Linked DNA regions of Callithrix jacchus. The protein of the gene in region 2 purifies or fractionates together with the protein of the main gene of each other region. This does not show direct contact. Links are inferred from orthologs where the notes say so. Each region holds a gene or a part of one and is shown on either strand. Other genes may lie near its edges.

Evidence for each region. The genes of interacting proteins can lie anywhere in the genome.
Region 1: the proteins of RELA (region 2) and BTRC purify together in Homo sapiens (affinity purification with mass spectrometry; 3 studies listed by BioGRID and IntAct, counting the BioPlex papers as one, with this or other methods). This does not show direct contact. The link is inferred for Callithrix jacchus from reciprocal best matches to the Homo sapiens genes RELA and BTRC.
Region 3: the proteins of RELA (region 2) and PRMT5 purify together in Homo sapiens (affinity purification with western blotting; 3 studies listed by BioGRID). This does not show direct contact. The link is inferred for Callithrix jacchus from reciprocal best matches to the Homo sapiens genes RELA and PRMT5.
Region 4: the proteins of RELA (region 2) and STAT3 purify together in Homo sapiens (affinity purification with western blotting; 5 studies listed by BioGRID and IntAct, with this or other methods). This does not show direct contact. The link is inferred for Callithrix jacchus from reciprocal best matches to the Homo sapiens genes RELA and STAT3.

What each region holds. Positions count from the first base shown.
Region 1 is NC_133513.1:94,307,599-94,311,641, reverse strand, and holds the start of BTRC (F-box/WD repeat-containing protein 1A), read right to left. Parts: upstream 2,805-4,043; 5' UTR 2,686-2,804; coding exon 2,638-2,685; intron 1-2,637. UniProt on the Homo sapiens protein: Substrate recognition component of a SCF (SKP1-CUL1-F-box protein) E3 ubiquitin-protein ligase complex which mediates the ubiquitination and subsequent proteasomal degradation of target proteins. Recognizes and binds to phosphorylated target proteins.
Region 2 is NC_133511.1:122,748,433-122,751,943, forward strand, and holds part of RELA (transcription factor p65), read right to left. Parts: intron 3,343-3,511; coding exon 3,211-3,342; intron 2,379-3,210; coding exon 2,274-2,378; intron 2,058-2,273; coding exon 1,845-2,057; intron 1-1,844. UniProt on the Homo sapiens protein: NF-kappa-B is a pleiotropic transcription factor present in almost all cell types and is the endpoint of a series of signal transduction events that are initiated by a vast array of stimuli related to many biological processes such as inflammation, immunity, differentiation, cell growth, tumorigenesis and apoptosis.
Region 3 is NC_133509.1:57,297,881-57,301,885, forward strand, and holds the start of PRMT5 (protein arginine N-methyltransferase 5), read right to left. Parts: upstream 2,805-4,005; 5' UTR 2,790-2,804; coding exon 2,680-2,789; exon of another isoform or gene 2,654-2,679; coding exon of another isoform or gene 2,595-2,653; intron 2,050-2,594; coding exon 1,931-2,049; intron 1,775-1,930; exon of another isoform or gene 1,640-1,774; coding exon 1,554-1,639; intron 1,078-1,553; coding exon 943-1,077; intron 256-942; coding exon 143-255; intron 1-142. UniProt on the Homo sapiens protein: Arginine methyltransferase that can both catalyze the formation of omega-N monomethylarginine (MMA) and symmetrical dimethylarginine (sDMA), with a preference for the formation of MMA.
Region 4 is NC_133506.1:121,807,227-121,811,442, forward strand, and holds the start of STAT3 (signal transducer and activator of transcription 3), read right to left. Parts: upstream 2,805-4,216; 5' UTR 2,610-2,804; intron 1-2,609. UniProt on the Homo sapiens protein: Signal transducer and transcription activator that mediates cellular responses to interleukins, KITLG/SCF, LEP and other growth factors. Once activated, recruits coactivators, such as NCOA1 or MED1, to the promoter region of the target gene.

The DNA of each region.
Region 1 (4,043 bases), on a different chromosome or scaffold from region 2:
TACTGGGATTACAGGTGTGGGCTACCGTGCCCAATCATCTTCCTTTCTTAAAATTGACTGAATAAACAGACATGCTATAGCAGGGTAAATGGCACCAAATGAATTTGTGACTTACTTAGATTCGTAAAGACTGTTACTGCACTGAAAGAGAATACCCAATCTCAAATTCTTCATTCTCTGTTTCTTTTATTAAAGTGTCATTCTGGTGACCCTCTTCTAGTTGACCTTTTGTAGAACAGCAGGCAAGGTCAATAACGAAAGTACTAAAATTAAAGAAAAAATTGGCTTCTCCCTATGGAAACTGATTCAAGATTTAATAACGTGTGGTGCCCCTAAAAGCTGCAACTATTACATGATCATCTCCAAATCCACTTTAACTCAACTAGGAGGCCATTATCAAAACATAACTCACTGGTACAAAGCAGAGATTAAGTAGCTAAGAATGTTCCTAGGCTGAAGTCTAACTGAGAGTAAAAGGGATGATCTCACAATGTCTCTTTATGTTTTGTAAATCACATTATTCAATAAATCTGACACAAGTGTGAGGATAAGGATTAAGAGTCAACCCTCGTCTGGGCGCAATGGCTCACGCCTGTAGTCCCAGAACTTTGGGAAGCCAAGGCGGTCAGGCCACAAGGATTGAGACCATCCTGATCAACATGGTGAAACCCAGTCTCTACTAAAAATACAAAAATTAGTTGGGCGTGGTCGTCCGCACCTGTAGTCTCAGCTACTCCGGAGGTTGCGGCAGAAGAATCGCTTAAACCCAGGAAGCAGAGGTTGCAGTGAGCCGAGATCATGCCACTGCACTCCAGCCTGGGTGACAGATCAAAACTAGGTCTCAAAAAAAAAAAAAAAAAAAAAAATCATCCCTCTAAGTAGAAAAACAAAAATAAGCAGTACTAGTTTTCTGACTTAAGTCTAGTAACTTTCACTTACTTCTAAAGTCCAATAAAACTTCAAGGTCTCTTCTTTATATTTAGAATTTTAACACTGGGCAGAAATCCAAGAACCTTCTTCAGGCTCAATAAAATTTTGTTAATGATACCCTTGAACTTTAATTAGGTGTTTTTGAAAACACTAATGCAAAATAAAGTTTTAGTAAATTTGACTAGTTTCTGAAGAAGTATTCCCTCTAAATGGGGCACTTTAAAAGCCTAAAATACAATTAAGTTAGTATCCATTTTTATTTGGATTTGTTATGGTATTTTAGGCAAATATACAAAATAACTATTTTTTAAGCAAAGGAGTAAGATTGGAGGGACAAGTCACAATACTTCTGAAATAGCAAGACTTGACTGCAAATAATATCCATGTCCCTAAGGCTACCTGTTAAAGTCTACGCATTCCATCACTCTTTAGTTGTAACCACAAAGGCTGGTTTTACACCTAGGATATACAAGAAGCATCAGATTAAAAGCATCAAATATCAGACTATACAAGTTTGCCATAGATAAGCATAGCAAAAAGAAAAGCGTGATACAAAGTTAGAGGTTCCAAGGGGTTTAAACACACCCACAAAATCCAATTTTTGCTCACACTGTGCTTCAACCTAAAACTGATGGGTAATCACAAATCCTGACTTACCACTGACTTATTCCCTACCTCCACCCTTTTTATCTCCTGAATTTCTCAACTGATCTCATCACTTCTTAAGGGTCTTTGCAACTCTCCACGGCCTTTCCTTTCCCAGAAAATGATACAAAGCACCTGGCCTCCACATTTTACATTCCCACAATTTAGCTTCAAATTTTGTTTTGCTTACTCGTTAGACATTCATTTTGCCCCCAATCTCCTGTACCCGTTTCCCTGACCAATCTTCCTCTTACTTTTCATCACCTTGCCCTTCCTACAGTATTTAGCTTCTCCTTTCAAAGTAGAGTATTTATCCTTCTCCCTGACATTTGTAATTCTAGTTTACTGTAAACATGCTCTTCCCCTCCCAGGGACTGTCATTATAGCCCTACGTTTTCATTCCCAGTCGTTATCTTCTTTAGTGAGGCCTCTTCCCTTCCAGAGTTTGTCAACATTAGTTTGGCCAAGCTGGGATTCCACCTTCAAGGCAAAGGATATTCTCCCTGCTCATTCTACAAAAGTATAAGCCTGTCACCAGCCCTAGCGTTCCCTCCTCCACCCTTAAATCCATCTATATCCAGCCCTGCCCGTTCCCCTCTACCCGTAAGATCTGTCTGCTCTCTATCCCGCACTCCCCCTCCCCAGTCCTGAATGCACCTCCTCCCCGGACCTTACTCGTACCCTGACACAGGAAAGGCCCAGGCAGCGGCCTCACGGCGCTTCTCCACAGAGCTCCCTCCGCTCTTCAGTAACTGTCCCCACGCCCCTTTCCCTCCAGGGCCCCGTGCGCAGCCAGGAGCCCCTTCCTCGATTAAGCTCCCGCTGTCACTTGGCCTCTCATCCACAAGATGGCGGAGCTGCTGCCCCCACCCCTGGGTTCGCTCCGCAATCCCCAGCCTCCTTTCCGGAGCTCCCATCCCGTCCCTCCAGCCGCCCTGCCGCCAGCCTCGGCCCAGGGTCCCGCTGCCCGGTCCGGCAGTAGGCTGGCGGCCCAGGCCCGAGCTCCAAAACGCCGCCAACGCCACCGCCTCCGCCATTCCCCCGCCTGCCCCGTCTCCTCACCATAAACTTGAGTGCTTTCTCTTGCAGCACCGCCTCGGCTGAGTCCATAATCGCCGAGGCCACTGGGTCCGCTCTCCGCCGGGGCCGCCCCTTTGGTGCCAGGCCGCAGCCAACGCAGCGCCCGGATCCCGCCTCCTCTTCCTTCCCCCCGCCCTCTCTTACCTCTCAGGCACAGGCTGATGGGGCCAAGAAGAATCAGCTTCTCAGTGGGCAGGCGAAAGCCCACTGGCTCACGGGATTAGTAGTTCTAAAGCTTCCCGAAGCAAAAACTGAGGCTATGCCGTGAACCGCAACTCCCACAGTTCACTGCGGTAGCGTTGCGGTTGCCGACGAGTCAGATTTAGATAACTTGCCCTCAAGCAGAGGAAATCGGCTGATGGGAATTGTAGTTTACAGCCTCTAAGGACGAAAAGGGGAGGGGCATGGGTGTCTCCGTGGTTACCGAGGGACGCCAGTAGCGGTTTGCCGGGCGTTTGATATCAAGATGGCGACCAACGCCTCACCTGTAGCCTAAATGCTAAGTAAAACTGTGAGAAGAATCAGGGGTCCTAGAGCCTGCCTAACTGTGGTTTTAGAGAGCTGAACGTCCCCAGATTTCATATATCTGGCGTCTGCGGAAGATTTGCGACCCAGAGGAGCTGGGCCAGTGGGCACCTGGCAGCAGCTCAAACACCAATGCAGCATTTCAAGGTCCTCCTAAGCTATTGCCACCCACACGTCTCCCGAGGAATCTTTTCTCTCCCACAGCATTTCAGGGCAAATAGAACTCGGCTCAGGAAATTCTTGGCGTTTAGAGCTCAAAAAGCACATAGCTTGTTATTGCTAACCCTGGGATGTAAGCCCTGCACTAAGGGTCAAACAGGTTCTTACAAAAGCCCTTTAACAGTGGAATATAATGGCCTCCAGCAAATAAAGCATATAAGTATTTTCTTTGGCCTTAAAAGATATAATATGAGTTTATTTTGGAAATTGGGTCTACCTTAGGAGGAAAAACTCTAGGGTTTAGTTGAAAGTGATTTAGGGCTGGGCACGGTGGCTCATGCCTGTAATCCCAGCACTTTGGGAGGCCGAGGCGAGTGGATCACCTGAGGTAAGGTGTTTGACACCAGCCTGGCCAACTCGGAGAAATGCCAGTCTCTACTAAAAATATAAAAATTAGCTGGGCTTGGTGGCACGCTCCTGTAATCCAAGCTACTCAGGAGGCTGAGGCATGAGAATTGCTTGAACTTGGGAGGCGGAAGTTGCTGTGTGTCGAGATCATGCCACTGCACTCCAGCCTGGGTGACAGAGCGAGACTCTGTCAAAAGAAAGAAAAAGAAAAAGAAAAGGGAGTTAGATTGTCACAGTCTTGACCAAAATATCTTAATTTATAAAATTAATGAACTAAGAAAATACTTTTTCACTTA
Region 2 (3,511 bases):
CACCACACCCGGCCTACAAACCAAAAAATCTCAAGTGATGGTGATCCAGGGAAGACACGGTGATATAACAATACCAGTGAGGTGAGGACAGTCTAATCCAGAGGTGGTCAGGGAAGCACTGGCCTGAGCCACTTGCATGAAAACCTTGGGTCAGGGCTGGGTGCAGTGGTTCACACCAGTAATCCCAGCACTTTGGGAGGGCGAGTCGGGCGGATGCCCTTAGATTGGGAGTTTGAGACCAGCCTGACCAACATGGAGAAACTCCATCTCTACTAAAAATACAAAATTAGCCAGGCGTGGTGGTGCATGCCTGTAGTCCCAGCCACTCAGAGGCTGAGGCAGGAGAATTATTTGAACACTGGAGGTGGAGGTTGTGGTAAACCGAAATCATGTCACTGCACTCCAGCCTGGGTGACAAGAGCTAAATTTCATCTCAAAAACCAGAAAAACAGCAAGAGAAAACCTTGGGCCAGGCCTTCCAAGCAGAGGCAACAGCTAGACATAGGTCCTGAGGTGAGACTGAGTTTGGGCCATAAGATGCAAAACAGGCTGGGTACAGTGGCTCATGCCTGTAATCCCAGCACTTTGGGAGGCCGAGGTGGGCAGATCACCTGAGGTCAGGAGTCTGAGACCAGCCTGCACAATGTGGTGAAACCCTGTCTCTACTAAAAATACAAAATCTAGCCAGGCTTGGTGGCACAAGCCTGTAATTCCAGCTACTTGGGAGGCTGAGGCAGGACAATTGCTTGAACCCGGGAAGCAGAGGCTGCAGTGAGCCGAGATGGCGCCATTTCACTCCAGCCTGGGGTGACAAGAGTGAAGATCTCTCTCAAAAAAAAGAAATGACACAAAACAGCTGAAGGGCAACTGACGGCAGTGGTGAAAACGTGATCTGGGTTCACGAGACATCTTCTCTTCCTGGGCTACAGTTAACATCTTCCAGAATGGCCTCCCTGCTTTGAGTCTCTCCATCTCTGATCCTCTACAAGTGGCCTCCTGAGTCAGCTTCCAAATCTGCTCCTGTCACCTCTCTGCTTAGAAACCTTCGATGGCTTCCTACTGCCTTCAGCCTGACCAGGCCCCCTCTCTCTGGGCCTGCTACTGCTCAACATCAGCTCAAATCCCAAAGATGCCCCTGAACAGGCTGTGCAGCTGCCAATACCCTTTCCCTTCCAGGTGCTGGGTCACCTGCCTGGAGAATGCACTTCTGCGTCTTTCTACAGCTTCAATGCCACCTACTCCACGCAGCGTCGCCAGCTCCCCGGAGGCCACCGTGCTCCCATGGCTCTCTGCACATTCCTCCATTTCCCATGTCATTCTGTGACTTATGGATCTGTTTTGCACATTGTCTTCCTCAAGTGACTAAGATTCTGAAGGGCAGGGAGTACGTATGTCTTATTCATTTTTTGTATTCACAATACCTGGCACAGGCCCTGGTACCAAGTGGGTACTCAAACCTCGACCAAAATGTGGCTGGGCTGTATGGCAGTGACAAGACAATCAGTGTGGTAAAAGGACCCTTGAAGCCAGATGGCCTGGGTCCCAACGCTGACTCTGCTACTCACTAGCCACATGAAGCCAGGCAAGTTGGACACCATCTCCTACCTCAAAAGGCTCATGAGATTAAAATCAGGTAATCCTGGAATAGGGGCAGATGTGTAGTACTAGCTCAATGTCAGGTAACATTATTATTAAATGAGGCAAGAAATGGATTCCAATTATCATATAAATCCCAAGCTCTGACTCCAGCTTCCGGCTCTCAACTACAACCCCAGACATGCAGTCTTGGCCTTTCTCATGGGACACAGCCCAGCTGCCCTGCTGCTGCCACCCCAGCTGTGTACCTGTATCTGGCAGGTACTGGAATTCCATGGGCTCGCTGAGCTCCCGGTCGGAAGGCCGCCGCAGCTGCATGAACACACGAACAGGAGCCTGCAGACTGGGGTCTGCGTAGGGAGGGGTCCGGAACACAATGGCCACTTGGCGGTGCACATCAGCTTGTGAAAAGGAGCCTCGGGCCTCCCAGCCTGGCCCCGTGAAATACACCTCAATGTCCTCTGCAGGAGATGGGATGGCAGTGTGGTCAGTATGTCACGCCCTCTGCAGTCCCCCCTCAACTTCTGATGCTTGTCTCCTGAGATACTTTGCCCCGAGGCCCACCTGAGGCCCCCAGGCACAGGAGGAAGTATCCAAAGCCAGTTTCCTGACACTCCCCATCTCTGCTCAGCTTCACCCCTTGCTTCCAAGAGCCCACCCTGCCTCCCGATGTATACCTTTCTGCACCTTGTCACACAGCAGGAAGATCTCATCCCCACCGAGGCAGCTGCCAGAGTTTCGGTTCACTCGGCAGATCTTGAGCTCGGCAGTGTTGGGAGCACCTGAGGCAGCGGGAACAAGGAAGGCCGACCTGAGCCACCTGAGGTCCCTGGGGTGGGCTGCAGGAGATGCAGCTTCTCTGCCCAGTCCAGAGTCAAGGTTGCCCAGAACTTGCCTCCTACATTTTTGCAGCCAGTCAGACCTTCTTACTGGCTCCATACCCCAACCGATTCAGCCAGTATTTACCTGCTGTGTGCTCAACACTGATCTAAGCAAGGAGAATCCAACCACGTACAAAACCTAATCTCTCTGCTCTCCCGGAGCTTATAATCCAGTGGGCGCCAATCTGCTCACACTCTTTCTCCCCCTGACCCAAGTAATCTTTAAGGCCAGTCCATACACACCTTGGCAATGAGCCCTTCCCTCCTGACCCCCAGTTTATCCTGGTTTCCCATTCTTGGGGCTCCAGAACTGTTTCATTTCCATTCATCCTGCTGGTTACTTAATTAAAGACTGCAGCTGATCAGTCAGCCCAGTTCATCTGTGGGCTTCCGTCACTGAATCATCATTCCCGAACACTATCTTGTTCCCAGGAGTTCATTTCCTAGAATCTTTATCGCAGTTGTGGGCACACCACCTTCTCATCACATGATACTGAAAATATCCATTTCCCATCAGACTCACTCCAGGCTGGAGCTATACCTGAAGGACAGCTCTGGGTCTTCTTTGCCCTCTCTCCCCAGCCAACAAAGAGCTGGGCACAGAAAAGAAGACGGATATGCAAGATGATTGAATGAAGCAAGAGCACCTCTTGCAGGTCACACTCAACCCAACCCCATTCCTCCTTATCCAGGCCCACCCCTCTCCCCTTCCTGTGGCTCCCTGGCCACTCACGGTTGTCAAAGATGGGATGAGAGAGGACAGGCAGCAGGCGGAGGGGCCTGCCTGATGGATCCCGCACTGTCACCTGGAAGCAGAGCCGCACAGCGTTCAGGTCATAGTCCCCACGCTGCTCTTCTATGGGAACTGCCAGGAAAACAGGTGATCAGGAGAGCAAGAGAAGGGGGGTTATAGGTGCTATCAGTGGGGACAGGGAGCTGTGCGCTGGGAGGGCTGTTGGTGCATGTGTGAAACACAAGTCCTAGAGACGGCAGAACCCAGCACTGCCTCCACTGTGACCCTGAATGTCCTCTCC
Region 3 (4,005 bases), on a different chromosome or scaffold from region 2:
TTCAGAGTCAAATACAGAAAAGTACAGTCATCTACATATGGCCGACCAATCACCATAGCTCAAGACCTCCCTACAGGTTCCGCTCTGTACTTCCCCTCACCCTATCCCTTGCACCCTGGTACAGCAGCAAAGGGAGACATACCACATCCATGTCTTCTCCTCCCCACTGTACTCCTGCGTGTGTGTAATTGGTGCATTCTCAATTATATCATCTCTCAGGTCTTCTGGTGCCACCAATGGTACCCGCATCCAGAACTGCACATAAACATTCACCCTTTTAGAACTCTCTTTTGAACTGATTGGGTCCAGAAAGTTTCCCTCAATTAAAAAAGTCTTCATCCAGACCTCGTTAATCCCTTTATGCTTTTCCCAATTTGTGATTTTGTAAGTGAACGTGTATCTTAGGTAAATATCCTTAGGTAAATATCTGCCTTATGTAAGTTTCTAAAATAATTACATTTACATGTTCTGAAATTCTCTTCATACCACTTTTAGATGGGCAGGGCAATCTGACCTTTTTTGGGGGGACAAGGTCTGGCTCTGTCACTGAGGCTGGAGTGCAGTGGTACAATTTCAGCTCACTGTAACCTCCGCCTCACAGGTTCAAGTCATCCTCCCACTTCAGCTTCCCAAGTAGCTGGGACTACAGGTGCATGACACCACATCTGGCTAATTTGCGTTGTGTTGTGTGGCTTTTTTTTTTTTTTTTGGTAGAGACGGGGTTTCACTATGTTGCCCAAGTTGGTCTTGAACTCCTGAGCTCAGCAATCTGCCCATCTCAGCCTCCCAAGGTGGGATTACAGGCATGAGCCACTGTGCCTGGCAATACTTATATTTAAATTCTGCCAAACATAACCTTCACTGAATGGCTAGGCACAAAAAGGCACTTAACACAATCTGACTACCATGATATGCAGCAGGAAAAGAGCCTCTCAGCTATACCATGGAAGAGTGGTGGCCAGTGTGGATGTGGTTGGTCAAAACTCTGGCCAGATTGGTGTTATCTTCCTGATTAAGGGGCAGCAGGAAAGCTGGAAGACCCAAATATGCACCAAAATTCAGCTCCTGTAACATGGCCTGAAATGGATATAAAGAGGAAAAGGTTGAGTTAACAAGCAAATAGCTTTCTTTTCTTTCTTTTTGAGACAAAGTTTTACTCTGTCACCCAGGCTGGAGTGCAGTGGCATAATCTTGACTCACTGCAGCCTCGACCTCCCCAAGCTCAATTCATCCTCCTACCTCAGCCTCCTGAGTAGCTGGGACCACAGGCATGCACCACCATGCCTGGCTAAGTTTTGTATTTTTTATAGATACGAAGTTTCACTATGCTGCCCAGGCTGGTCTCGAACTCCTGAGCTCCAGTGATCCTATAGCCTCAGCTTCCCATAGTGCTAGGATTATAGGTGTGCATCACTGCTCCCAGCCTAATAGCTTTCATTTCATTGTTTCAATTGATTTACCAAGTTACTGGGGGTGGGAGGGGGCCACTTTCCCCACCCAGCATGGTTACAGACCTAATCTTTAGAAAGATCCAGCAAAGAAGTCAGTCTTACCACCTCAGAGTTTCTGCGAATCTTCTCCACTTTTGAGTCTGGACGGATCCATGGAGAAAGCTTTCCCACAATTAGCGTATTCCAGTCTGCACTCCCCCACCCAAGAAAGACAAATACTGAATAAGGTTCAGCACTTTACTTGTTCAATTTTCAGTTTTTAGTAGGAACTCAAGTGTAGAAATGAGAGACAAAGGTTTTTTTCTACATAGATGTGGGATAGCCTGGTGCAGAATAGAGAAGCAAGGAGAAAACAAGTTATTTATATCCCAGGGACTAACAAATATATCCAAGTCAGAAAAGGAGGAGAATGAGGGCCCCGATAAAGCTTAAGTTGTTATTGCCTCTAATAATTAAGGGGCATATGGGATGGTCCCTACCCCTTCCTGACAGCAGTAGGTCTGATCGTGTCTGGGGGCCAGGTCGATTCTTAGCAGGTTCCTGAATGAACTCCCTCTTGAAACGCGGATGGAAGACGGGCATGCAGAGGAAATCAAACCTACAACCGCGACAGACCCAGAATCATGTAAAGAGAGCAGCAGTGCCAGAGAGCCAAGCAACTGGATTTAGGCTACCTTGATTTTTCCACAGCCCTTTCAGCTGCCATCAGTTCACCCCACTAGGCTGCTGAGTTCAGACCACCTTGGGGGATATCACTTCTGCTGTACTGTGCCTCAATTTCTCCCCAAAACACAGCCATGGAAAATGTAAGGAGAAAACGATGGAAATCCACAAGCAGAATTTTTTTCTCCTCAAGTGACAGTCTTTCCAGAACATCACATCCTGATTTGCCCCAGTTCCGCCCATGCCTCCCCCGTCAAAATTAGCCTCTTCTCTCCCTTGCCCCCTAAAACCTCCTCCCACTCCCAGACAATAATCGCGACCTCCAGGGCCCTTTTGAGTTTACCCAACAACTCCCCCAACTTTTGGACTCAGTGACCACAGGCCCCTCATAAGTTCTTTTCCTCACTTTCCTGGGTCCGAGGATCCTCCCCTCCAAAGAGTAATAGTCTCTCCCGCCCTCATCCTAGCCGACCCCCTCACCCCTGCTTCTCCGGGATGACTAGTTTGCCCTTCTCCGTCCCCGAGTTCGGACCCAGCATTCCGCTCGTGGAGATCCGGCCCTCACCCCTGCTTGGCCACAGCCCCTAGTGTGTCAGCTATTTCGGGGACGCAATTCAGGTCCCTCCCGCTCGACACGCGGCTCCCACCAGCACCCCCGACCGCCATCGCCGCCATCTTTTTCCTCGCGCTGTCCACGCCGGGATTCCTTGATAGTAGTAGCCAATCACAAAGCCGAACTGAAGCCCCCTCCCCCCCCAGAAGGCGGGACGAGTCGCCTTAACAACCAGAGCGTCTGCCACCGCTCCTGAACGGGAGAGAAGGAGAGTGGCTTTTCCCTCCAATCCGCCGGCTGCACAGTGGCGTACGGCGTGGCTCCTGCAGATCCACCAATCTCAGGGTCTGGTTTCTGATGAACTTCAATCTCCCAGAATGCTTAGTGCAGCGGCCGAATTCAGTTAAGAAACTACACCTCCCATGAAACCCTGCAGTATAACCTTGAAGTAATAGCAGAGAAGAAAACGCTCCTATCCCAGGGCCAGTGGCGCAATGGATAACGCGTCTGACTACGGATCAGAAGATTCCAGGTTCGACTCCTGGCTGGCTCGGTGAGGCCGCTCTCTTTTGCTACATGAGCATTTTCTAATTTCCCCTTCCTATCTCAGTTTGTAGCTTCTTTATTATCTTCACTTTCATTTTCAGGTCCTAGGTTGGTTGGGTTCCGCAGTCATCTAATGTCAGGTTTTCCCGTAACTACCTTCAGAGGTGTTTTTCTTGTGTCAATTGAGAAAACTGGGTTAATGGCTGGTGCTATTAAAATGGGCTTTGTCACTTTACAATGCTACATATTAAAATAAACTGTGGTAACTCAGCTACTTCCTAGTGATTCTGTTTCAAACACAAAAGATGTAAATAAACGCCTAAACACACACCTCAAGATGGAGAAAAGGAATTCACGGTAAGGAATTTCATTGGGTAGCAGTCATGAAATTGCCTGGCGTGGAGACCCGAGAGAATCTACATTTTCCCATGTCAGTAGCTGCTAGAGATGGAAAGGAAGGAAGCAAGGAAAGGCATAGGGAGGTAAATGGGAACTCCTGAAGGAAGAGGGCTCACAGGTGTTGAGGGCCTGGCAGCAAGGATAAAGAAGAGAACACGATACAAGAGTCCGCCCCACGCAGGCGCCGCTGGCAGAACTTAGGGATCGACTGGCAGGGAACCCTGTGAAAGAAAAGCCAGGGGTGATGCCTACGACTCTGTCTATGCAGTGAGCAAGAAATGAGAGAAGCGGGTTTAGGAAGTCAGGGTTTGGGTTTGGTCATGCTGAATTGAACGTCTAGGGGGCGCTGTGTAATAGAAAGTTGGATGAACAGTGATCTGAACCATGTGAGAT
Region 4 (4,216 bases), on a different chromosome or scaffold from region 2:
TATAAAAAAAAAAAGAAACTAGAATTCCACTGTTACTTGCCAGTTGCAGTGGCTCATGCCTGTAATCCCAGCACTTTGGGAGGCCAAGGCAGGCAGATCACGATGTCAGGAGTTCAAGACCAGCCTGGCCAATGTAGGGAAATCCCATCTCTACTAAAAATACAAAAATTAGCCAGGCGTGGTGGGGTGCACCTGTAACCCCAGCTACTCGGGAGGCTGAGGCAGGAGAATCACTGGAAGCTGGGAAGTGGCGGATGCAGTGAGCAGAGATCGAGCCACTGCACTCCAGCCTGGGTGACAGTGCAAGACTCTGTGTAAAAAAAAAAAAAATTAATAAAATAAAATAATAACAATAAAAAAAGGCCGGTGCGGTGGCTAATGCCTGTAATCCCAGCATTTGGGAGGCCGAGGCAGGTGGATCACGAGGTCAACAGATCGAGATCACTCTGGCCAACATGGTGAAACCCTGTCTCCACTAAAAATACAAAAATGAGTTGGGCATGGTGGCACGTGCCTGTAGTCCCAGCTACTAAGGAGGCTGAGGCAGGAGGATCGCTTGAACCCAGGAGGTGGAGGTTGCAGTGAACCAAGATCGTGCCACTGCACTCCAGCCTGGCATCAGAGTAAGACTTTCTCTTGAAAAAAAATTAAAAGAAAAGAAAAAAATTGCAGGAGGCACAAATGCCACCACTATGGCACTCTGCTACCTTGGGCAAGTGTCTTGATTCTTTGGCCTCAATTTTCTTATCTATAATATTAAGGTAATTGTTATGTGAACTACCTACCTCAAGTCCTTTGTAGGTCAATTCATAACTGTGCTGTGGGTATTTTTTTTTCCTTTCTTCCTCCTTTCCTTTTTCTTTCTTTCTTAGAGACAAGTTCTCATTATGTTGCCCAGACTAGACTCTAGACCCAACTCCTGGCCTCTCACTATGTTGCCCAGACCAGACTCAACTCCTGGACTCAAGGAATCCTCCAGCCTCAGCCTTCAAGTAGCTGGGATCAGAGGTGTGCACCACCATGCCTGGAACTGTGGGTGTTTCTAAGTGATTATTCTTCCCAAATGAACTACATAAAAAACAAAAGATTCTTTAATTTACCAATGGTTCTTTGTGATGGTGTGCTAATATACAGACTAAAATCAAGGCTCCAACCTCTAAAACATTTAATTCCAGACTTCTTTCCCCCATCCCACTGTGCAAACTGAACAAAAACTGGGCTAGCACTCCAGTCTGGAACATGTAATAAAGAAATAAATGTGCTGACTCAGAGAACATAGATATATTTGATATAAAATAAAAAAAACTGGCTGAATTAAGTCATAACACAATCTAAAGCCACATATAAAAGATTGAGATCATTTTCTGCTTTGCTTTATTCAAGCCAATGTTTTATTAGCACAGCCAGCCAAAAATTTACAATCCATACACAGACTACATAAACCTTTAGTTGCATATACAATAAAGCCAGCAGGTACACACTATACACATTTCCAAAAAAAAAAAAAAAAAGACTAACCACTGATTTTGTCACCACACATACAACGACCTGATATAGCAGAGTGATGTGTACCAAACATGGAAATACCAACTTGGGTGACGGTCTCAATCCTTTTAACTTCAGTGCAAACACACACCCCCAAACGCAGGTAAAGTTTGCACACATGGTTTTTTTCAAAGCCAGCCTTTGTTTCACTCTCCTCTGCATTTACCCAAGATCTTGGCTCTGAGACAGAAAACTCCCACTCTCGATTGGTTCATTCTGTCCTATGCAATTAAGCAACAACACAATCCAGTAAAGGCAATGGCTCAATTATTTATCTTCTGGCCGACTTTACCAGGTGCTTGGAAAAGAACAATGTCAAGAGGTTTATTTCTCTCTACAGCTGGCTGGACGGGTTAATTGGGATTTTATTTTGTCTTCTTTCTTTTTCCTCTCTTTTTTACAAGGCGGGGGAGTGGAGTGAGGGGAGTATAGCTTAACCTAGAAAAAGATGGGAGGGAATTTAGGAAGAGTACCAGTCTGTCAATTTCCTTAGAGGGAACTTGATTCTTATGCAATAAACCTACCCAAGACCAGCCAGTCCGTGAGACTGCAGGGGACAGACACCTATTCCTGCCTCCAGAGGGGTATAGCTGGCTCCTGAAGGAGCGGGAACCCGGCAACTGGAGGAAGTGGCTCAGCGGGAGCCGCCGGCCGAGCGGAAAGGAAGCGCTTTCCGACACCCACCAGAGCCGGTGATCCCCGCCAGTGTGACAGTCGCTCCGGTGGCCGGAACGTCCCCAGGGCCCCAAGGAGCAGGAAATCGGGGGACAGTCCCTCACGCCTGCCGCCGCAGCCGAGTGCGCTCTCGCCCCACGGTTCCCTCTCGAGCGCGTTCTTACTGTTTCTCTGAAGAACGAAACTTCCCTCCAGAGTCCCCAGTCCCTTCCGAGGCCCGCTCCAGTCATCCAGGGGAGTCTTCCCTCAGGGCGACCCTCCGCGTCTCATCTCTCCCCGCCCCAATGCAGCGTCCATACAACCTCTCCAACGTCCCAAAGGCCCCCGGGCCCTACGGCGCCCCCGGGTCCCCAGGCTTCCCCGACGGCCCCACCCTGCACCCCCTTCACCTGTTTCTCCCGCGGAGGCCGAGAGGCCGGGGCTGCGCGTGAGCCAGGGGCGGGCGGCGGGGCTCCCTCAGGCCAAAGGGCCTCTTCTTGCCGACGAGGAGAGACAGCGCCAAGCAGGGTTGCTGGTCCAGGATCCGGTTGGGGCTTGTTCTCTGGCTGCGACGTCGGAACCCCTGGCTCCCCCTCCCAGTCTACGCCGCCGCAGCTCCGGAAACCACTGAATTACAGCCCTTTCAGCCAATCCCCGTCCAGCCCCGGCCGGGCCCGGCATGCCGTCATGCATAATTCATGATCGGCCAGCTCGCTCGGCCATCCAGAGGTCTCAGTGCGTGTGTGGTACAGCAGAAGCCACGCCCACTAGCCAATGAGAGGAGGCGCTAGGAGAAAGGGCGGGGAAAAGAGAAGACTGATACGCCCCTGTGTTGGCTGTTCCGACAGTTTAGTGCTCCTCCCTCCGCCACAGCGAGGGAAGAGCTCAAGGCTTGGGCACAGAAGCCCGGGGGAGGGAGGGAAGATGACCGGAATGTCCTGCTGAAAACTCAGCTGAGTTCCTGGCAGTGTGTGACGTCAAGGCACTTTAAATGCCCCTGATACAGCTCCCTACTGCCCGCTCTCCCTTTTCCCGGCCCTGGGCACCACGTGGTGGCGAGGTTGAGAGCCTCTTACCACGTGAGAATCAGCCAGTTAGACAGTCCCCCAGGTGTCTTCAGATCCTCTGGGGACCCAACTCCTAAATTCGGTTCTGGGGACAACAAAAAGAACCTGGGTGACTCCGCCTGCTTTGAACTTCAGTTTCTGCGTGAGCAGGGACACATGCACCCGGAAACATGACGTGGAAATAGAGTAATTACTAGAGTGCGTGGGGAGAGGGTAGTGGATTTAACCCCGTCCTCCGTTCCATCACTTCAAGCACCAAACGCCGACCGGCTAGCCCATTGGCTGGTACAGGCAAATGCAGAAGACATTATATACGAAAGCTGACACGTACTTGTAAGACTTGACATTTGTATGCGTCTGAATTGAAATACATGAAATGTTCTGCCTTTTTCTTTTCCACCTTGTCTACTTGGTATGCAAGTTTTACAGAATTGAAGTCAGTGGTTCATAGGAAATGTACATATTTTGCCTTTCATAATAGAGGATGAACTTTGCATAATGGAGTGATTTCTGTGTATGTGCTGATACTATCAGGGTTTTTAATTTTTTTTAAGATTTTAAAAATATGTTATTAATATTTGTGTTTGTTTAATACGAACAGGTATAGAGACAAAATCTGAAAAGGTGCCATTATCTCACTGCTCAGATAACCCTTGACTTTTTAATGAACCTGATTCGTATTTAGAAAATGCAGACCGCTGGGCGCGGTGGCTCACGCTGTAATCCCAGCACTTTGGGAGCCCGAGGCGGGTGGATCATGAGGTCATCCCGGTCAACATGGTGAAACCCCACCTCTACTAAAAATATAAAAAATTAGCTGGGCATGGTGGCGCGTGCCTGTAATCCCAGCTCCTCAGGAGGCTGAGGCAGGAGAATTGCCTGAACCCAGGAGGTGGAGGTTGCGGTGAGCCGAGATGCCGCCATTACACTCCAGCCTGGGTAACAAGAGC